Bombyx mori: one gene and its partners. The protein of the gene in region 5 purifies or fractionates together with the protein of the main gene of each other region. This does not show direct contact. Links are inferred from orthologs where the notes say so. Each region holds a gene or a part of one and is shown on either strand. Other genes may lie near its edges.

The links.
Region 1: the proteins of U4/U6 small nuclear ribonucleoprotein Prp4 (region 5) and CD2 antigen cytoplasmic tail-binding protein 2 homolog purify together in Homo sapiens (affinity purification with mass spectrometry; 3 studies listed by BioGRID and IntAct, with this or other methods). This does not show direct contact. The link is inferred for Bombyx mori from reciprocal best matches to the Homo sapiens genes PRPF4 and CD2BP2.
Region 2: the proteins of U4/U6 small nuclear ribonucleoprotein Prp4 (region 5) and RpL7Ae purify together in Homo sapiens (affinity purification with mass spectrometry; 4 studies listed by BioGRID and IntAct, counting the BioPlex papers as one, with this or other methods). This does not show direct contact. The link is inferred for Bombyx mori from reciprocal best matches to the Homo sapiens genes PRPF4 and SNU13.
Region 3: the proteins of U4/U6 small nuclear ribonucleoprotein Prp4 (region 5) and squamous cell carcinoma antigen recognized by T-cells 3 purify together in Homo sapiens (affinity purification with mass spectrometry; 5 studies listed by BioGRID and IntAct, counting the BioPlex papers as one, with this or other methods). This does not show direct contact. The link is inferred for Bombyx mori from reciprocal best matches to the Homo sapiens genes PRPF4 and SART3.
Region 4: the proteins of U4/U6 small nuclear ribonucleoprotein Prp4 (region 5) and serine/threonine-protein kinase PRP4 homolog purify together in Homo sapiens (affinity purification with mass spectrometry; 3 studies listed by BioGRID and IntAct, with this or other methods). This does not show direct contact. The link is inferred for Bombyx mori from reciprocal best matches to the Homo sapiens genes PRPF4 and PRP4K.
Region 6: the proteins of U4/U6 small nuclear ribonucleoprotein Prp4 (region 5) and gephyrin purify together in Homo sapiens (affinity purification with mass spectrometry; 3 studies listed by BioGRID and IntAct, counting the BioPlex papers as one, with this or other methods). This does not show direct contact. The link is inferred for Bombyx mori from reciprocal best matches to the Homo sapiens genes PRPF4 and GPHN.

The regions. Positions count from the first base shown.
Region 1 is NC_085111.1:10,749,928-10,753,951, forward strand, and holds the start of CD2 antigen cytoplasmic tail-binding protein 2 homolog, read right to left. Parts: upstream 2,801-4,024; 5' UTR 1,349-2,800; intron 1,025-1,348; 5' UTR 891-1,024; intron 665-890; exon of another isoform or gene 419-664; intron 294-418; 5' UTR 281-293; coding exon 98-280; intron 1-97. UniProt on the Homo sapiens protein: Involved in pre-mRNA splicing as component of the U5 snRNP complex that is involved in spliceosome assembly.
Region 2 is NC_085117.1:6,325,518-6,328,117, reverse strand, and holds RpL7Ae (ribosomal protein L7Ae), read right to left. Parts: upstream 1,375-2,600; 5' UTR 1,170-1,374; coding exon 1,167-1,169; intron 947-1,166; coding exon 557-946; 3' UTR 501-556; downstream 1-500.
Region 3 is NC_085122.1:6,475,722-6,480,021, reverse strand, and holds the start of squamous cell carcinoma antigen recognized by T-cells 3, read left to right. Parts: upstream 1-1,500; 5' UTR 1,501-1,614; coding exon 1,615-1,716; intron 1,717-3,332; coding exon 3,333-3,445; intron 3,446-3,666; coding exon 3,667-3,833; intron 3,834-4,300. UniProt on the Homo sapiens protein: U6 snRNP-binding protein that functions as a recycling factor of the splicing machinery. Promotes the initial reassembly of U4 and U6 snRNPs following their ejection from the spliceosome during its maturation.
Region 4 is NC_085107.1:3,222,865-3,226,364, forward strand, and holds part of serine/threonine-protein kinase PRP4 homolog, read right to left. Parts: intron 1,976-3,500; 5' UTR 1,937-1,975; coding exon 1,926-1,936; intron 817-1,925; coding exon 1-816. UniProt on the Homo sapiens protein: Serine/threonine kinase involved in spliceosomal assembly as well as mitosis and signaling regulation. Connects chromatin mediated regulation of transcription and pre-mRNA splicing.
Region 5 is NC_085130.1:18,540,135-18,543,634, forward strand, and holds part of U4/U6 small nuclear ribonucleoprotein Prp4, read right to left. Parts: intron 2,871-3,500; coding exon 2,712-2,870; intron 1,657-2,711; exon of another isoform or gene 1,028-1,656; coding exon 922-1,027; exon of another isoform or gene 425-921; coding exon 354-424; exon of another isoform or gene 1-353. UniProt on the Homo sapiens protein: Plays a role in pre-mRNA splicing as component of the U4/U6-U5 tri-snRNP complex that is involved in spliceosome assembly, and as component of the precatalytic spliceosome (spliceosome B complex).
Region 6 is NC_085122.1:5,872,652-5,876,151, reverse strand, and holds the end of gephyrin, read right to left. Parts: intron 3,164-3,500; coding exon 3,052-3,163; intron 2,723-3,051; coding exon 2,517-2,722; intron 2,125-2,516; coding exon 1,984-2,124; 3' UTR 255-1,983; downstream 1-254. UniProt on the Homo sapiens protein: Microtubule-associated protein involved in membrane protein-cytoskeleton interactions. It is thought to anchor the inhibitory glycine receptor (GLYR) to subsynaptic microtubules.

The DNA of each region.
Region 1 (4,024 bases), on a different chromosome or scaffold from region 5:
TCAAAAGCATTTTAAGTATTGTTTGGAAAAAGAAACATTTTTTAATTCTCACAACAATTTGAGTATTCTGATTAGGTTTTTGACTTATTCTACTCACTTCACCTTCCATTCCACCAGTTCCTTCCTCTTCACCTTCAATATCATTGGAGTTCATAACATTATTCTTCTCTTCTTCAGCACCACTATCTTCTTCGTCGGAATCCAAGGAATGTTTCTTGCCATCCTTCGTGGCCTTTTTTACTTCGTCTATTAATGCTTCGGAAGCGGGACGCTTTGACATTTTGGTAAAGTAACTAAAAGGAACAAATTTTAATTAAAAACATTAAAAAATATTTGGGTTTATCTAACAAAGACTTTAAACTATAGGCACATTCCTAAATTATCATTGAACACTAAGCAAAGTTTTACTCATCCTCACCCTAATAATATTTTGGGCGCCTTTTCTTGAATAGGTGAACTCAAATTGAGTGAATCAGATTCAACTAGGTTGGTACACGGTTGGTACCTCTTCTTAATTGTGATTGTGTGTCTGTTGCCGTGTGTTAGGTACGCTATCAATGAAATCAATGTTTTTATGTCTATCAAGGTATGGTCTCAAATCTCAATTATTAATTTTATTATGTGTATCAATGACTCGAATATTTAAGTGTATAATCTATGTCTATGACTACGATGTTTGGTTTTAGGACTTTTTGGCGGGAACGCGAGGGGTGAAGTTGTGTGATTTGTTTTATTTTGTCTATTTAGTGTTTCTTCGGGTTTAGATATGTAATAATGGTGGTTTATTAACTGTTTAATATGTGTGTAACTGTATTTTTCTTCTTCTTTACTTAGACATTTTTGTCCACTTTGAGATTTAATTGTTATATATCTGTGCAAAACCGACTTACTTATATTAAATTGCTTAGCTATTTCAACTAAAGACTTATTCCCAAATTCATAGTCTTCTATTGCTGTTTTTAATATTAAGGGATCATATCTCTTATAAAGCTTGCACTCTTTGATACATACACGCGAGGCATATCTAAAAATAGAAAACAATACGTAACTGATAATATAAATATAATTGCACTAATAATTAAATAAAAGTTTTAGACAAAAACATCATGAATAAATGAGATTCTTACCAACACGTTTAAAAAAGATTGTTATAACTACATAGACAACCCTACAATCCTGTACGTATTTATACTTAAGTCGTTCCCATTCAACTTATTGTCGTCCCAATTGACCTCCCTTTCATTGTTATTTGTAGCTCAGGTGACCCCATTAACCCCAAACATAACAATTTTAATATGTATTTTTAAATTATCAAAAAACATTAAAACCAATAACAATTGAGACTTACCGTTAATATATATGATGGCTCAAACACTAAATAAAGTTTTTATATCACAGTCGTCTTATATTATTATCAAATAATATATGCTGGCTTAACCATCAACTGGTGTTCGGTTGTAAAGGACCTAGGCCTACTTATTGACTCCAGCCTGAGTTGGCGAGCCCAGGTCATCTCCGTGTGTCAGTGAGTTACACTTACACTCCGTATGCTTTACCGCCTGAACAATATCCTTCCGCCCGAAACCAAGAGACAATGCTCGTTTAAACTTTGATCTTCCCCATGATCGACTATGGTGATGTGTGCTACTTTGACCTGAATGCAGATCTACTCAATAAACTTAACCGGCTTCTCAATAACTGCATTCGATTTATTTATAATCTTCGGAAATACGATCATGTATCTTCTCATCGCTCCCAACTCAAATTGCTCCCCATTCGACAACGCCGTAGCTTGCGTGCTCTCAGTACTCTTTACTCTTTGTTGCACTTCCCAAATCCACCTGAATACTTAGGGTTTGACTACAGCCAAAATCTTCGTTCATCTCACAATCTTCTTCTTCGCTGTTAGTTCGCAGGTAGTTCGGACTTTTTACATTCTTCCTTCACTATTCAATCTATTCTTCTATGGAATGCGCTCCCACTTAAAATAAGGTCGGCCAGAGTTTAAGACAAGGTTTCGAGTACTTAGAATCAATTAGATGACTCTGCTAAGAGTTAGCAGAGTCATCTAATTGATATTTATTTATATATACACATTTTTATATGTATATATTTATGTATATGTATTTATTTAACAAACAAACAACTGTCTGTACAAACTGTTTAAATAGCACTCGGGAGTTATTTTGCGAAAAAAAACTGTCACACTTTTGGATTAGAAAAAAATAGATGTTGCTTCAGCTGAAGCACTGTAGTGCGCTACCGAAGAATTACACAATCAACGTGAAAAAAGAGCAACCGGTTGGCGATGTATCGCATCCCGACCCGACAGCCTGGTTCTAGTCCAGCGGGGTATTCCGGGACTCCAGTCGCACTGTGTGGGTGGCCTGACGGGCTATCGTACCCAGACGGCTGACGGCTGTAGAGCATTCCGTCTCAAAGGCTCCGTCGACCGGACGTCCTCGGGGGAGCTGCGCTGTCTGTAGTGTTGACCGCGATAACCCCTTTACCTCACCCGGGTTCTGACCTGGAAGGGTATCAGACGATTGGGCGAGAGTGCAGGGGAGTTGTGTAGTGGGTATGGCCCTAAATTCTATCCTTTAGGCCCGCGGTACCGGCGAAGGCGGACTTTCGGCGCGGTATTGTGGGTTTCGTGGAGTCGTAGCGGTCAGTAAGCCCCCTCAACCGGGTAACCGTACGGATTCTACAGCGTTAAAAAAAAACAAAAAGAAGGCCCGCGGTTCACTCCCATACCCCATGCGCCCCTAGGGGCGGGGTATTCCTAGAAAGTTCGGCCCCCAGTCCAAAAAAAAAGATCAAGCACTTCAAACCGCATTTCGTCGACTTTCGCCAGGGAAACTGCTTAGCTGAGTGTTAAGCAACATACCTTGATAAAAAAGTCGTCGGGGCCTAAAGGATAAGACGTTCGGTGCATTCGTGTTGAGTGATGCATCGGTGTTCGAATCTCAGGTGGGTACCAATTTTTCTAATGAAATACATACTCAACTAATATTCTGGATTGACTTCCACGGTGAAGGAATAACTTATTTATTTATTTTATTTATTTATGTACACACAGAAAAAAAGACATAGTACAGAGTAATAGGAAAATTATGTACAAAGGCACTGCTTATTTCTTTAAGAAATCTCTTCCAGCAAACCTGCGAGAGGATAATGAGAATAATAATAAAAAGTGATAAGTGTGTGTAGAACAAATAATACATAACTAAAACAACAAATACAACATGAGAATTATAGTAATGCACTTACACATACCAAATATTGTTAAACTTGAGTACAAAATATTATAAGTCACAGTAACACTCGTATATACGAAGAGTATAGAACCATGATCACTCGGTTGATGAGAGATAAAATTGTTTGACCTTGTATTTAAAAACAGAAACAGACTTGCAAACTCGGATGTCAGCCGGCAACGAATTCCACAGTCTGACCGCGTGCACAGTAAAGGAGTGAGAATAGAAATTGGTTTTGTGAGAAGGGAATAACAAAACAGAACGTTGGTTGGACCTGCAGGGAGCATCAGGAGAACGAATGAAAGAGAATCGCTCACGTAAATATAAGGGAGAAGTGGGCTTATGTAGGATATTGAATAGGAGACATAATATTCGAGTATTCCTACGAAGGCGTATAGGGAGCCATTTAAGTTCTTTGCGAAAATGTGAAACATGATCGAATTTTCTGAGATTGTATATAAAACGGATACATAGATTTTGCATCCTCTCAAGCTTGTTTGAGAGCTCCTCAGTGGCATCCAAGTAGCAGGCATCGGCGTAATCAATTATGGGTAGAATGAGAGCTTGGACGAGAGATATTTTTGTATGCTGAGGTAAGAAGCCCTGCAGACATCTCAACGAGTGCAAGGCGAAGTGCACCTTCCTACTAATCTCAGCAACGTGAGAACTCCACGAAAGATGTCGATCCATACACCCAGGTTTTTAACTGAATCGGTTAGAGTTATTTGAGTCCCATCCAAATAAATTGGGGGGAGTATAGGATCGCT
Region 2 (2,600 bases), on a different chromosome or scaffold from region 5:
TGGTTTTATTTAAGGCTTTATGCGATTTGCGATTAAGAATTTAACTTCAATAGAAAGCGGAAAAATCTATATCTTTGCTTATTGACAAAGGCATGTGAACAAAAAAATTGCTACTGCTAAAGAATATTTGTACTTATATAGCGGAAACAAAGCAGACCTCCATTTTTTTATAAACAAATGTAGCTTCTTTTTAGACGACTTGTGCCTTATTTGTTCAGTTAACAGTGTATTTACACCACATAGTGATTGTCATCACCTATATCACGTGAAATTCTCAGTAGATAACATTGTAATTCAGCTGTCCTATACTTCAAATCGAACTGAAAAACCATTTCACTGTACTGTTTGAATAGACACAAGCACTTGTTGATGAAAAGATTATCAGGGAGGATGCCACAATTGTAAAAGTTCATAATTGTAAAGTTCTACTTTTTATGTTTAAATAGCAAAAGATCCTGGTCCTTTTTGTTCCTAAAAGCATCAATAAATAAAATACGTTATTTTATTAAAATATTGTATTCGACACAAAATAATTTCCTTACACGTCTATTTATACTTAAACTAATAGTCTTTCGATTTCTTGCTGAATAGTTTGGATCTGAGGCTTTAGTTGTGAGCCCTCATTGATGGTTATCGAGCAAGATATGATGGGTCTGGAAACACCGCAAGCACGACCGAGTGCTTGCTTAGACCTAACAAACACATATGGCACATTCTTATCTTCGCACAGAATTGGAATGTGAAGAACAATTTCGAGAGGTTCGGCATCTGCTGCCATTATGATGAGCTCAGATAGACCACGATTAAGGGTCTTTGTGGCCTCGTTCGCGCCTTTACGAAGTTGCTTGTAATTGGTAGCTTGTTGCACCAAGTTCAGGATTTTAGCGGTTAAGGCGGCATCCGCCAATGGGTATGCCTTGGGGTTCACTGCAGCTTCGGTTTCAGCCTGTGAAAGTAGATTATTAAAGTTATGAACAGTTTAGATGTTCTAGGTAGTTAGAATGTAATCAATCTCAAGATAACCTCAAATATTCACATGAGTTCAAATTGCAACCGTATTTTGGATATCACATGATTGAAAGTTTCAATTTGAAACTGATTAATGAAAAAACTGACTTATTATAGGTAAATTAATACCAAGAAGATCGCTAACACGTGCAACTTACCATGTTTACAATGCCGCGGTGTTGAATTAATAAAACTCAACCTCTCGGCGATCTCTCGCTTCACTGAGGAAATAATCTTCACGTAAGGGAGAGAAAATTTAGGTATTTGCCACAATTCTACACTTAAATCACAAATATTTTGTGTATAAATATTATTAACGATTCTGATACTGTTGTTTCAAAGACACGCGGGTTGTGGCTTCTTTGACATTTGTTTTTTTGGTTATATTTTTTTTCATTTTAATAATCAGAGGCAACATGAATTATACAGCTTTACATTTTAATAGTATAGGGTAGTCATTTTTTATGTAAAATTAAATGTATGGTGCAGAATAATTTACCCAACGTTTGAAAAAAAAAACAAAATATTTATAACGACTTACTAAATAGTTCAATTACGAGTTTTTTTTCAAATTTCAATTTTATGACTTTTCGTATAGGTACAGTAATGTAGTACTTAGTTCTGTTTCTCCCACTAAAAAGGCGAAGGTATCACATCCTACAGACTAATCTTTTGTAAATGCTGTATTTAAATGAAATTAGTTTAAAGAACAATAATATGGAGCGAAATAAAATGAAGTTGATTAATTTGACATTAATCAATTGGGAAGTAATTAAACGAAACGAGATTATATCGGATGAAATTTAGTCCTAGTAAAATAGTGGTTATTTACTGAGACTATTTCAGGGAACTTTCTGGAAGATCACGAGAAGCTACGTCCAACGGCTTTATTTAATTTTCTCACATGTTGTCTACTTTTACAGATATTAAACTGCTAATAAAGTACTGTTAATACACAATGAAACCTAAAGAAACACTAAATTAACAAAATAAAACAACTCACACAACTACACTCCTCGCGTTCCCGCCAAAGTTTGTTCGTATTTAACGAACTTTTTACTGCTAAGGGTTTGACTGGGTTTTTTTTTAAGGCTTATATAGGTGGACGAGCTCACAGCCCACCTGGTATTAAATGGTTACCGGAGCCCATAGACATCGACAACGTAAATGCGCCTCCCACCTTGAGATATAAGTTCTAAGGTCTCAGAATAGTTACAACGGCTGCCCCACCCTTCAAACCGAAACGCATTACTGCTTCACAGCAAAAATAGGCAGGGTGATTGTACCTACCCGTGCGGACTCACAAGAGGCTCTACTACCAGTAGTGTTGATAAGCTGATACTCTTTGGGTTCACAATACGCGTTATCACCAAAACTGAAGTGGACACTGAAGAGATGACTAAAATGACTCAGAACTCACCTGTCTTTAGGTGGGCACCGAAGCCATAGAAGCTACCAGCGAATAGATCAAATACAATAAATAGAAATCACAATTTTAATGCCAACTTTAAACACGAAATAAAAGTCTATCACCAGTAGAGAGTTGGTGTCTAATCATCCATTTTTTCCAGAAGATTTTGAACAAGTCATCC
Region 3 (4,300 bases), on a different chromosome or scaffold from region 5:
ACGCATCGCCAAAGAGGAAAGTAACTATATTATAAGTGTCCGCTGAAAGAGAGAAAATTGAGGCGGCGCTATAGTAGCAAGTGGAAAGATTAAAAAAACTGCATCATAAACTATCGCTACCACTTTCACTTACGTAACTTGCGTTCCGTCATTTCCACCTGCGAGATGGTGGACTCAATAATCTGTGGATGAACTTACAAAAGTCAATCGTGTGCCCAGCGACACGGTATAAGTAACGGTCTTTTGGGCTCTTCAAGCACCGGGCATCGTCCTCGTCTTGGTTCATGGCAGACCACTGAGTATCCCCCCGGATCATCACAATGGGTTGCAATTTCGGTCCAGTGGTAAATTCTGCGAAGCAAGCACTGCTTCTACTAGGGCTGGCGTTGACAAATTCTCTCAGGCTGAGCCCGTGAGCTTACCAACCAGTCCATGCGAAGCTAAATATAGGCCCGCATTTTTTTTTTACCTGTGCTGATAAACTTGAGAGGCTATTTCAGCTTCGCCCTAACATGTAGGTGAGCTCATGGGGCTCAAACCTGACGACGTTGCTAACATGGATCCTAGCAAGAGCCGTGCTTCGCAGAATCTACCACTGGATCTGAAACGCGGCCCACTGAGAAGATCCGGCGAGAAACTCAGTGGGCTGTGTCTGTGGGTTAATTTACTCGCCGAGCCCTTCGTCGCAAACTACGGGTTTGGCGAGGACGGTGACCGGTGCTTGAGGTACCTAAAAGCATCGTTAGTGGATGGGGAGGATCCGTAATGGTGTGTTTTGGGCGACGTCGACTGCTTTCCATTCGGTTCGCAGGATCGGGAATGGACTTTAGCCCCGTAGGCCACCAACCCGGTATATATATCTTATCTATGCCACTAGCAAATAGGTAGGGAAAAAAAAAGAAGATCCAAGTAGCTGTGACTCATTACCACCTGCGATAATTATAAGGTGAGACGCCTTCTACCACATTTACAGGCAACAGTATAGCCAAGGTAAGCATTGGAGTTTTGAGATTTTATTAATTTAGAGATTCTTTAGATCAGATTCTTCAGATAAACCTCAGGTCTGACCATTGGTGGTTTGTTCACTGTCTAATATTTCTAAAAGTCCACAAATATTGGAAAAAGGAACAAAATCTCCCAAATATTTTCTAAAAAGTTAATCCAATTTTCAATAATTTTCACTATTTTTCTGTAAGTATGTTTAAGTTCACAATTTGTTAATTAACCCGTTTTTCTTAAATTGCATGATAAGTAAATTCGATAGCTTCTCGGGATCTTCCAAAAAGTCTACGTAAAAAATCATCATTTCACTGAGACTATATTTTATCGCATATCATGTCGTTTCATAATTTTATCACAATTGAGTAATGTCTCAAATTAATCAACTTAATTTCATTTCGTTCCTTTTAGTTTTTATAAAACAGAAAATACAAAAATTAGGTTGTATGGTCGGATTTCGTTGCCTTTCCAGTTAGAAAAATGGAACCACTACTTTATTTTGACAATTGACAAATACCTCCACAATCACATTCTGCCAATCGCCATTATTCGTTCGTTTGTGAATTTAACAAATACAAAACTACACAGTTATTGATTACTCTCGTGTGATAAACAATGGCGATAGTAGAAGACGAAATTCAGAACGGTTCTGAAGGGGAAAATGAAATTGAAGTTGTGGTTGAAGAAGATGATGGCGACCAGGATCCAGATTCTGATGTAAGCTATTCTGATTTTAATTTACAAAATGATACTTTGTCTGTATTTCAAGTTAATTAGCCGGTTTTCATTTTAATACATGTGATTCTACGTTTTACCAAAGCAAATTATAATTTGTAATTATTAACTCCATTTAAAAATACAAATTGAACCTAATTTTGAAATCATAATACAATGTATCATAATAGAATGTAAACATGTTTTGTATATTTGCTTTCTTTAGTATGTAGCTGTACAAACTTAACTATAAAAATATCTACCTTATTGTGACACCAATAGCATATGTAAAGGGAAGTTTAAACAAATAAAAAAAATGAAATTTTGGTTCATTGTTTTTTTTGTTTATATTTTTTTAGTTTTTTATTACACAGATAGGTGGACGAGCTCACTGCCCACCTAGTGTTAAGTGGTTACTGGAGCCCATAGATATCTACAACGTAAATGCGCCACCCACCTTGAGATATAAGTACTAAGGTCTCAGTTTAGTTCCAATGAATTGGAATGAAAACGTAAACTCTGCTAATAATTGTAGGCACAAATGTCTAGATGTAAATTAAGTTTTGGGTCAATTTAAAGATAATATAATATAAAAGTATTTTCTTCATTTTTCAAAGGTCATAGATATAACTAAAACTTCTTTTATGATTTAATCGAGCAATTTAATGTCTAAAGCTTAAACTCCACTGGCATTTTGCAAATTTCACTTTCAGCAACAGGATGGACTCAACATATGCACTGTTAATCCCTGTGTTTCTAAGATATTTGTCTTATTCCTATGCTTCAAATACAATTCAGTTACATTTTTCATGGACACACAAGATAAAATTTATCAATAAATAAAATGAGAAACGTATAACTATTAAACAATGTTAAAATATATATAGTAAAATAATTTTCTGTGCTTATAATATTGTTATTATAACCCCACAGTTGCTGTCAAGAGGGTTGGATGTCCAAAATAAAGTTTTAATATAATCTAGCCAGTTGCTTTACAGTCTTGAAAAAAACGTTTTATTGTTATAAAATTTGTAGTTAGCATACAGGGTTGGGATGACACGGTTGCCTTGAATGAAAACACAACCCTTACTAATTAAAAATAAAAACATAAGATTTTAACAAAATAAGGAAATGAGAAGGTATTCAAAGATAATATATTGTTTGTATATGGTCCTCAAGTAATTGATCTTTTTTCTCAAGCAGTGTCCGACTTAATCTCATTAATTGAGTTTGAAAACATTTCCCGGCAATGTTTTTTATTTGTGATCATAATTCCATCAAAATTGACCAGCATTTATTGTTGAAGCCACATATTAATAAATAGCAAGAATTTCGTTGTGCACCTAATACATAAGTTTCACAAAATTATAAAGTTTATTACTATCTTCTTAAATGTAATTTACTGAGCTCATTAAATTATAATTCAAGGAAGTGAATAATTGAGAATATGGTCATGTGTATAAATTATTGAAACATAATCGAGTGATACAAGAAAAACTATCTTAGTAACTAGTTATTTCAAACCTCCAAGGAGTGTGAATATTTATTATAACTTGTGCAATATCCAAGCAAAGTAAAAATTGAAAATGTTTACAATATTCAGAAATAATAAATTTTAGGATGAAATATTGGAGATGGGAGATTGGCAGAGGAAAGTGGCCGAATATGAACACAAAATCACATTACATCCTTTTAATTATGATGATCACATTGAATTGATCCAGACTTTGTGGTAATTATTATATTGAATTTCTCAAATAAGTTTTTTTTTTAATAATTTGTTCCTAAAATGTTTTGATCAGAAATTTTCCTTTAATCAAATTTAATATTACTTCATTTAGAGCGGGGAATCCCAAAGTGTTTCAAATCTTGTTTTTTTATTAAACATGTGAGTTAGAATTTTATAATTTATAGATATGTATTTGCCAAAAACAAAGCATATCAAATTTTCAGGCGTCTATCGGAACTGGGGCAATGGCGAACGGCGTTTGAAAGATTATGGGAGATGTCAGTTATAAAAGTTGATCATTGGCTCTTGTGGCTCCGAACAGAAGAGAATATTTCACAGTCTGAAGAACTAATTGCCAATTTATTCTATAAGGCAACCTGTGATTGCTACTGTGAGTACATTTAACTTCAGAACATTTAAATTCTAACTGCTTTAAAAACGAAATATTTCGGTGTTTTAGTTATTCTAGCTATTCAAGTACTTTTTCTACTTAACCAGACAAAGCTTACCTTACTGTGAGTGGTAACAATTGCTCATGGAAATCACCAATGCTGGGGCAGTGGCCTGGATCTGAATACTTACTTCACTGGTGGTAGGGTTCTGTGTAGAAGCCCGCCCGGGTTGGTACCACCGTCCTGTCTATTTCTGCCGCAAAACAGTAATACTGTGTTCCGGTCTGAAGGACAGGATAGCCGGTGTAACATACATAAGGCTGCCCATCCAGGCCAGGATAGGCAGCGCATCTGAGTCACTGATGTAGTTTGGATGTCTATGGGCGACGGTTATCATTTCCCATCAGATGAGCCGTAAGATCGTCCGCCTATCGAAAGTAATAAAAAAAAAAAAAAAAATCCTACT
Region 4 (3,500 bases), on a different chromosome or scaffold from region 5:
TCTTGTTTACGCTTTTCTTTCTCTCTCTTGTCACGATATTCTTTATCTTCTATTTCTCTCTTCTTCTCCATTTCTCTTCTGCTTTCTCTGTTAATGATATCACGTAAGTCTTCTTCTTGCCGACGAGGTTTATGTTTTTCTGAAATCTTGTCCTTGCTTGATTTGTGTTTGCTCCTATGTTTATGATCTTTCTTGGATTTTTTCGGTTCGGGCGATTCCACATCGTCATTTATACAAATAATTTCATCAGGTTTGTCATCTTTGGCGTCAATACTTTCTTCGTCACTTTTATCAGAAAAATATGCTACAAGTCTAGCTTGTAATAGTTCTTTTTGTCTCATGAGTTCTTCTAAATTAAGATCGTCTTCGATCATTGTTAGTTCGGGACTTGCACAATCTTCCTGATAATTTTCTGTTTCAGAATTTGATGATATTATTTCTAACGTGTCCTCTTTGATTTCTACTATTCTATTGTGATTCTTATAATGGGAATTAGTGTCCCCATTTTGAGAAGCCCGACGTATTGTACTTATAGAATCTATCAAAGGAGAATGTAATTCAGAGTTGTTGCCAGTTTTCGACTGACACCGTTTGGATTTGTTGATCAAATCTTCAACATCAGATAAGGAAGTTTCACTCTCCGGTTCTCGGCTCTGTTGTTTCACCTTTTTAGATTTCTTTTTCTTTTTATGTAAATTTACAGAATCCTCTTCATCGGCAGTCGGTCTTTTGTGTTTTTTATGTTTCTTGCTTTTCTTTTTCTTTTTTCCATCTTCTTCATAATTATCACCATTAGTTATGTCATCTAACTTAGACCTGAGAAATAAATAAAACGTGGTACTTACAAATAGCTCTTTCGGTCGTATTTTATCTTCTTTAGTTCCTTTTACAACATATTCAACAATTCTGTAATATCACAGGAATTAATCGGTATTGAAGGAGTATATGTGATTGTTAAATACAACAAAATTCCTTCAAAACGCAATATACCTGGTTTCCAAATTACTTGTATTAATTAACTCGATTGATATATTAATATTCATTTCGGAACTGCTCATATTGATGAAGGAACAGATTTTGTATTTTGACTTTGCATTTTTTTATTTGTTTATTTATTGTTCATTTGATTGACATTGCCAATTATGACATTAACTTTCTACAATTACCTACGAAACATAGACCACAAAATGAGTAATGATCCGCTATGACAGATTTCAGGGCGATAATGTGTGTATATATGTGTATGAATATTTAAGAAATTAAATGAACAATAATTGAAATTCTTAGAGATTCTAGCATATAAAATATATTTTTTAAACAGTTAAAAAAGAAATCTTGCCCATTGTTCTGTTTTCATGTTTTTATGTTCTGATTAAATGTATATGATTTTTTTTGTTGCATTGTTGGATAGACGAGCTCACAGCCCACCTGGTGTTAAGTGGTTACTGGAGCCCATAGACATATACAACGTAAATGCGCCACCCACCTCGAGATATAAGTTCTAAGGTCTCAGTATAGTTACAACGGCTACCCCCACCCTTCGAACCGAAACGCATTACTGCTTCACGGCGGAAATAGGCGGAGTGGTGGTACCTACCCGTGCGGACTCCCAAGAGGTCCTACCACCAGTGATTAAGCAAATTATAATTTTTGCGGGTCTGATTTTTATTACACGATGTTATTCCTTCACCGTGGAAGTCAATCGTGAATATTTGTTGAGTACGTATGTCATTAGAAAAATTGGTACCCGCCTGCGGGATTCGAACACCGGTGCATCGCTACATACGAATGCACCGGACGTCTTATCCTTTAGGCCACGACGACTTCAACGATTAAATTAACGACGACGATTGAATTATGAGAATTTATATTTTGTCTGTATAATAGAAAATAGTGAAAGTTACCTTCGATTTAGTTTTACTTACTCTTTTCCCATTTTAAATCTGGCACTGTCACTGTTCAAGTTCACAGTATTCTGCAACAAAATTTAGATAAAATTACTATGAAACACTTCAATCAATATACAAAATATTTATTGATCCTTTTTATAATTTTATGCTGATAGAGTAACTGCGGATTAAGATGGCCTTAAGTTAAGCCTAAAAGTTCTATGTGTTGCTTAATTGTATTTTTATTGACTAGTAGCTGACCCGGAAAACGTTGTTTTGTCATATATAAGATTTCTAGGGAAATTATAGTGTAGAAAAAAAGTATCTTATTGTAAGTGTGTAAGGATGTGGTAAATGAGTGAAAGAGGCCTGTAGCGCTGTGAACGATTAGGGAGTATAAAAATAACAAAACCTCATTCAACCACATACCTAGGTAATGCCTCATTATAACAAAAAAAAATGTCCAAAAATAAAAATAAATGTTAGGGGTAGACAACCCTTATCACTTATGGGTATGAAAAATAGATAGTAGCCGATTCTCAGACCTACTGAACATGCATATGGTAACTAACATTGTGACATGAGAATTTTATATATAAGATTGTAAATAAATAATTATTGCACTGGAAATTAATGATAATTTTACGATGACAGTAAAATTAACATGAGAGTTGCACAGAAAAATTAAAATAATAGGTATAACAGTTACTGCTACGATAGATACACAAATAAAACCAAAAAAAACTGGCCGAAAAATGTATAGTGAGTATGACAGGAGACCGGCTTTGTCCTCATCCCTACTACGTGATGTGTGCTGGATGAGTGGTAACCCCTGGCGGGGATAACTGATCGATTGATAGTTGATCAGTAATCGACCGGCGAAGGCGGGAGATCAAATTGAATTTAAAAAAAAATCATAATTAAAGGAACTTGAAATTCTAAACTCTGAATACGAATTTATCGTACTACAATTATAATATTTGATTGCCATCTTGCAACCTTATTGCGGAACTGTGCATAGAATAAAAAAAATAAAAATTGGGATGGAAAAACAGGGGTTGATCGTATAAGAGTGAAAATTAGAGTAATATGAATTTTTTTATTTAAGTTTTTAATTAACAAATAAAAAATAAGGGTTGATCATAGAGGGATGAAAATTTAGGGTTGTATGTATTTTTGTATGCTGTATCATAAAAAAATAAAAACAAAAATCTTTGTCAAAAAAATAAAATAAAAAATTTAGGGGTGGACCCTTAAGATTTAGGGGGATGAAAAATAGATGTTATTTGATTCTCCACCCTGGCCGATATGCACGCTAAGATTCACGAAAATCGGTCGAGCGGTTGCGGAGAAGTTCAATCACGCACCACGTGACATGAGAATTTTATATATTAGAAGTAGTAATAACCATAAACACAGCTGAATAATGGACAACAGAATACAAATAAAAAATCAATGTAAAATAATGTCAATATTAACAAGCACCTTATCAATTTTCTATCATCATACGCTTTGCGGGAAAGGAATGGAGCATCTTCTCTCAAAAGTTGAGAAAAATTAAAGGATTTTTTCAATAAACATACCACTAATGGCTTAAGGTTTTGTACTGGG
Region 5 (3,500 bases):
CCTAGGGGGATAAGATGGAGACAAAGAAGAAGAATTAGTTAACAATTAATACATTTTGCGTTTGCATTGATGCGTTTCCGATCCGGTGGTAGATTCTGCGAAGCACGGCTCTTGCTGGGGTTCGTGTTAGCAACGTCGTCAGGTTTGAGCTCCGTGAGCTCACCTACTAGTTTAAAAAAAAAAAAAAAATGCATGCCCGCTGAGTTTCTTGCCAGTTCTTCTCAAGACGGGGACTACTTTTTATGAATTGGCGGTAGATTTGATTTGATTAAAGTTACGCTGAAATAGCCTCTCAAGGCTATCTATCAGCTTAGGTAAAAAAAAAGAAGAAAAATATCGGCAAAGACCCTCACCAGCTCGAAGTGATCAGCATCTTGCTGTCCTGGCTGAACCTGCAGAAGCTCAGCGGCCTCGTGTCCCCGATCTGATGAAGAGCACCACAGATTTATGTGCTGAGCTGCCCCGCACGCTTAGGGCCGCCACGAGGTGGCCACGTGCTCAGGTTTGGAACGAGACAGCCCTGACACGAGAACCTTGTGACTGCGACATCACGTGGGCCTAGCCGGTAAAAACTAAGACGTTCCGTTTTTGCAGGATATCCGTTGCAGCACCATGGTTCCTAAGGAATGGCGGTAGGACCTCTTGTGAGTCCGCGCGGGTAGGTACCACCACCTTGCCTATTTCTGCCGTGAAGCAGTAATGCGTTTCGCTAATTTACTAGGATACGTAACATCACAGGGTCATAGTCGGCCATTTTGATCCTAGTTCTATATTACCCACCCCACTGGCCCCCACCACTGCAACTTCTGAGGGTCCACAGCGACGACCGTCCAACGAAGTGCGTTCACTTGGGAGGGAGACAGTGGGGGGGGGTGTAGCAGGAACTTAGGTACCCTCTATCCCCCACGACCTGGGCCTCACCTGGCTGCAGTAAATGCTAAAGGCAGACGCCTTCCGTTGCGACTCCTGCTTAGCGGCGGCGCGCACACTGCCAGCCAACTTGAGTTCCTCGCGGGCTTTGTTTAGCCTGTAACAATAATCGAGTAACTTACACGAGTCCATAGACATGTCGCGCCCCCCAGTGGTGGTGGATTTACACTAGGGGCGATCGGGGAAAGTGCCCAGGGTGGTAATTTTTGAAAGTGAAAAAAATTTTTTTTTCTTGTCGAGATTGCTCAATATAATTAATTAATAATTTTCTTTTTTATTGATAATTCAAGAAATTCAATTCACTCATGAATAGAATTATAACTTTGGCACTTTTGGTAAAAATTAATAATCAAAATTGATTTAATCAATTTATTTCCTTGAGATTTTTTAATAATAATCGATCTTCTATTTTCTGTAATTAAAGAAATTTAATTAGTTTTTTTTTTATGTAATATATTCTAAGGAAAGAAGACGGAAGTGGGCGTGGCCTGCTGACGTAATACAGCAGCGACTTCAGACTGGTCGGAGTTGAAGAGGGGAGTTGAGGACACCACTAACATATTGCCTCGTTCACGGCCTCTTTCTGATCTCAGCACCAGGGATAGACGGACGTTGTACATTCGCGTGTCAACTTAGTTACCCACATTTTGTCATTAGTATTTAAAATCAATAATTGTTGAAAATTGTATTTTGTATCGTTCTAATTATATTTTTTTAATATTTTGAGTCGTGATTTCTAATTATATTATTATTATTAGTCACCCTTTAGTGCAAAATTTAAGATTGTTAGAAAAAAAAACAAAAATATTTATTTACATTTTTGGAATATATGACATAAAATATGATAAAGTTTCTGCAATAAATTAGATATTTTAATTTTTTTAAATAAAATATATTAACTATAAGTTTAAGTAAAATTCCAGTATTAGGGCGGATTTTTTTTCCGATAACCAGGAGCGCGGCATTAAGTTTAAATCCGGCCCTGCGCACCCCCCATCATAATTTAAGACACCAGAATGAATCCACAATATTTCTATATATATCGAGTGGTGTAAGGCTCTTTAGTTTAAGAGACATTTATCTTTGTAATCAAAGGTCCGTTTTATATTTCGAATCAGCATCAACATTTCGATATTTTTAATTGAACTAGCGGTCACCCAGTAGTCGAAATTCGACTATAATTAATTGAATTTATAAGTTTGTATACTATTATGATTGTATTTTATACTTCTATAATCACAAATTTCGCCAAGACTACACTATAAAAAATATTAATAAAGACAAACAATATTTAATCTCAATTTGACAACAGACGTCAAGAACAAAAGTTTGACAATAAATAGTATGCATGCGTGTGTGCGTCAAATACATGGTATGTAGGGTATGTAATGTTTTCTTTTATGCAGTATTTAAAAAAAATATTAGCATTGTGCACTCCTTCTCTAAATTCTCTATAAGTGTGAGAAATTTCATGCTCCTCCATCCCCAAATTTTTCGTAAAAAGGGATACAAAGTTTTTGCTTCACGTATTAATATATAGATTAAGTTTACTCCATTCGAATAGCTGAAGAAGTTTGTTTTGTTAAAATATTATTTTGGCAAATTTTTAAAACTTTAAATAGATCTCCTGTAATATTGCAAAAATGTCGCCTGAACCAAACAGCCTTTTACCCTTCGTTACCTAACCTTAGAGGGGACAGCAAGGAGGTTCCGGAAGTAATGAAAATGATGACACAGCCAAGATATCACAGTCGGGTAGAGTCGAATTAATTGAAACTGACCTTTTTTTGGCGTTAGGCAGGGAGTACCTGGCTATCCAAATCCTCGCTTGCCTCAAGGTCGGGGGACCTTCGTGGTACCAGGTACCTTCTCTACCTCTGTCTCTTTCCAGGCGTGCTTCTTCCTCTTCTAGCTTCTTATTGATAGCATCTTCGCCGAGACTGAAAATAAAAATGAAATAATTAAATTCGTGTAATAAAAATAAAACCCGCAAAATTATAATTTGCGTAATTACTGGTGGTAGGACCTCTTGTGAGTCCGCGCGGGTAGGTACCACCGCCCTGCCTATTTCTGTCGTGAAGCAGTAAAGCGTTTCGGTTTGAAGGGCGGGGCAGCCGTTGTAACTATACTGAGACCTTAGAACTTATATCTCAAGGTGGGTGGCGACATTTACGTTGTGGATGTCTATGGGCTCCAGTAAACACTTAACACCAGGTGGGCTGTGAGCTCGTCCACCCATCTAAGCAATAAAAAAATATAAAGCCAAATGAAGACTAGAAAAGCTTTGTTAAATCTTTAAAATTCAACAATTAATTCATTTTTATATTTATCAATTTGTTTTAGTATTACACTTTATTACCAAATGCTGATCACCATGATATGGTGAATAGGAATTTATTCACAATTCAACATCAGGAAATTGCGTCTTTTTTGCTTGCGATCAGCAGAGACCTCCTGAGCACTAACCCAGCTGCCCCAGAAAACCAGTCAGTTGCTTCAGATTACCCATGACACCCCCATTATACCATTACAGTCCAGAAACTCCATTAGCAAATCGAGATAAACAAATT
Region 6 (3,500 bases), on a different chromosome or scaffold from region 5:
AGTCCACACGGGTAGGTACCACCACTCCGCCTATTTCTGCCGTGAAGCAGTAATGCGTTCCGGTTTGAAGGGTGGGGTAGCCGTTGTAACTATACTAAGAAGTTAGAACTAATATCTCAAGGTGGGTGGCGCATTAACGTTGTAGATGTCTATGGGCTCCAGTAACCACTTAACACCAGGTGAGCTGTGAGCTCGTCCACCCATCTAAGCAATAAAAAAAAAGATGTTGGGTATAAGGTGAAAAAAAGAACAGATTAAAACAACAAATTTTATTTAACAAACCATCACCAAAATATTCGAGATTTTTTTTACTACATGAGAATTGCTACCAAAGAACTTATTTCACAAACAACAAAAAGGAACTTAAGGAAAATTTCTACACCCACTTAAACAAATTGGGCTAAAAAAGATTAAGCCTTTTCAATTTGACATATTCATACATTTATAGGTACTCTGTTTATAAAACTATTTTTATTTAGTTACATTTAAATAATTTCTAATAAATTGAAACTATTTTCATGGATGGAGATAATTTTCGAGGTATGATTTCGAAGGAAATGTTTTATTAGGATCTATTTTGAAGATGATTATTTGCACTTTAATTCGGCCAAAATACATGTTTTTTTTAAATCCATAATAATATTTTAGTTTGTCCATGCTAAACCGCTAATTAGATGAACCAACTCTTAATGCATCTTTGAAAACCTACTTTTCATTTATTTAAAGTATATAACGATGTAATTCTGGTTAGTATACTCTCCAAACAAACTATGTATAATTATTTAATTCTAAATTTAGAGCAGAGTACCTCTGACAATTAATTTAGATAATAATAAAATAAATGTAAAATGTATGCAAAAGATCTTTCAATTACCTATGCAAATATTGCATTCGAGACTCAAGGAAATAATTTATCACAATCATCACTTGATTCCTATTTTTAACTAGGTAAAACAAGCTTTACAAAGAACTAGGAGACCTCATAGGGATTTCACAATTAGAAATAAAAAGATAACATACACATTTAAAAATTATAAACAATATAAAACTGAGCAAGATTTGAGGTTGTTTTATATACTTTGGCACAATTCACATTTCACCTAACGTTAAGGTAGCTCTTACAGACTAATTCGTGTAGTTCTCTTCATAATCCAAAATGTAATTTAATTTCTGTTATAGTTTAATCTTAAATGTTCAATTTACACTAACAGATTTGCTTTTAATTATCGTGACCGATACGCATGTAAGTATGCAACAAGGTATTGCCTGCATTCTCAATGTAAGGCTTTCGTAAGCGTTCGACTTAGTGAAGATTACGTCAATCTATTTACACAGTTTACTTCTGCTTAAGAATGAATGGCTTTAAAAACTTATGTAAAACTTAAACATGAAATGACATCTAGTGTGTTTTGATAAAAAGAAACGCAAGTAGATCTGTGTGCTTAGTGCGAGTTTTTTAACGTTCTCGATAGCGTAAAAGTTAGCTTATATTTGTACGGAATGGAATCGTTTGCCTACGTTTACCGCTAGGGGCGCTGTTCTAACTGCATACAAAATTGGGTTAACCTTTACACTATCGAGAACGTTAAAAAACTCGCACTAAGCACACTGCACCTTGAGATTAAAATCTGCGGTTCCATTGCTACGCACAGGAACGTTTGGTATGTTTTACTTAGCTTCACTTTATATGAAGAACGGCATGTAAGTCACAGTTTGATGTTGTCGTTAACCCCTCGTTTATATTAAACACCCGACAGCGCGTGGGGCGTTTTAGCAACGTCAGTTAAAACGTAAATATGCTGCGTAAGGAATAGACACGCAGATGTAGAAACGTATACATTTCTGGACGCCGGACGCGCGTGTGATTTTTGCGTACATGCTACGCAGCAATGGAATCGAAAAGAGAGAAAACATGCAAACAAAGAGAAGTGTTTTTAAATGTGAATACCTAGTAGGACGTGCCAGTTATATTTGAATAGGGGATTAGACTGCGCTGTTGTGTAGCGTCCCGGTGACGAGCGCGGGCACGATGGCGCCGGCCGGCAGCCGGGGGTGCGCGGGGGAGGCGGCCGGCAACTCCACCAGCACGCTCGCACCGCACGCGCTCAACAGACGACTACTGCACTGTACGACATAAACATAAACTTCATATTAAAATTTATGCCCTCCCTGCACATACACGAAGTAGTTTCGACTACCTGTCGGATTCACTGTGTTAATTTAATTTTAATGCGTTCAACGCCGTGCGGCCCACCGGTGAGCCTGGCTTACTATAAAATTCGGGCCTAGACCAAAATCAGGGAATCCGTAATTTTTATCCTATGCCTCTTTCTATGGCATAGGATAATAATGCCTATTTCTGCGGTGAAGCAGTAATGCGATCCGATTTGAAGGGGGGGGGGGGGGGGGGCAGCCCTTGTAAGTATACTGAGACCCTATAACTCATATCTCATGTGGCGGCATTTACATTGTAGATATCCAAGGGCTCTATGGGCTGGCCAAAAAAAAAAAGTTACCTGGTTGCCCAACAACTTCACAGTGGGCATGTCGTCGTCCTGGGACACGTCGATGTCGGCCCGCGCGTACTCCGGGCGGGGGTCGAGCGCGACGCCGTGCGCGAGCTTGGCGCGGAGTCTGGGCCACGAGCCCCTCTTGCCGCTGCACACGCGCAGACCTCGGATCACGAACAGCAAACAGCAAACGTAGGCAGAAACTGGATTACCTATCGAACAATTAATAAATTACATTATTTTTTCTCGTTAAAATATCGGAGTATTAAATACCCGATTCTTGCAACTTCCAAAAAGGAATCCGAAATTCCCAGTGCACTTTATTAGTCTAAGACGATCTGTTCTATAAGTGTTGAACAGTGATTGCGTGATTGGTGTTTGTTGCCTGTGTTAACTTTGTATATTATTGTTTCTTCTTCTAGTATGTCTATTAGAACAAACCGTCTCCGTTGCAGCAAATATAATGGATGGCTGGTTCAATATATCTGCTATATTATATAATTTAATAAATATTAATACAAATAACAAAGAAATGTTTTACCAGGCAATGCAAAAATAAATTTAGTTTTTCCTTCAAACTGGCATGTTGCAAAAGTCGACGGCTTGCCGGGCTTCATGCGAACGCGTCCATAGTGAAGTGTTGCACCGAAATCCTGAAGTCAGAATTTAAAACAATTCGACACAAATTTAAACAATTTAATAGTAACCACGGCTAGTCCTTCAAACTGAAACGCTTACTGCTTCCCGGCAGAAACAGGCAGGGTGGTGGTACCTACCCGTGCAGGCTCACAAGAAGCCCTACCACCAACACTAAAAAATCTCTAAGTCATCCAGCAAGTAGGTATATACCAGTTAAAGTCTTATCTTTATTGGTTCTAGATTTTTTTCTAATCTATTGTACAGAGTTTCTTCACAATCGAATAGAAAGTATTGGAACGCACGGATGACAACAAGAAATTCAAAACAATTTTTATTTCGAATCGGAGGTCA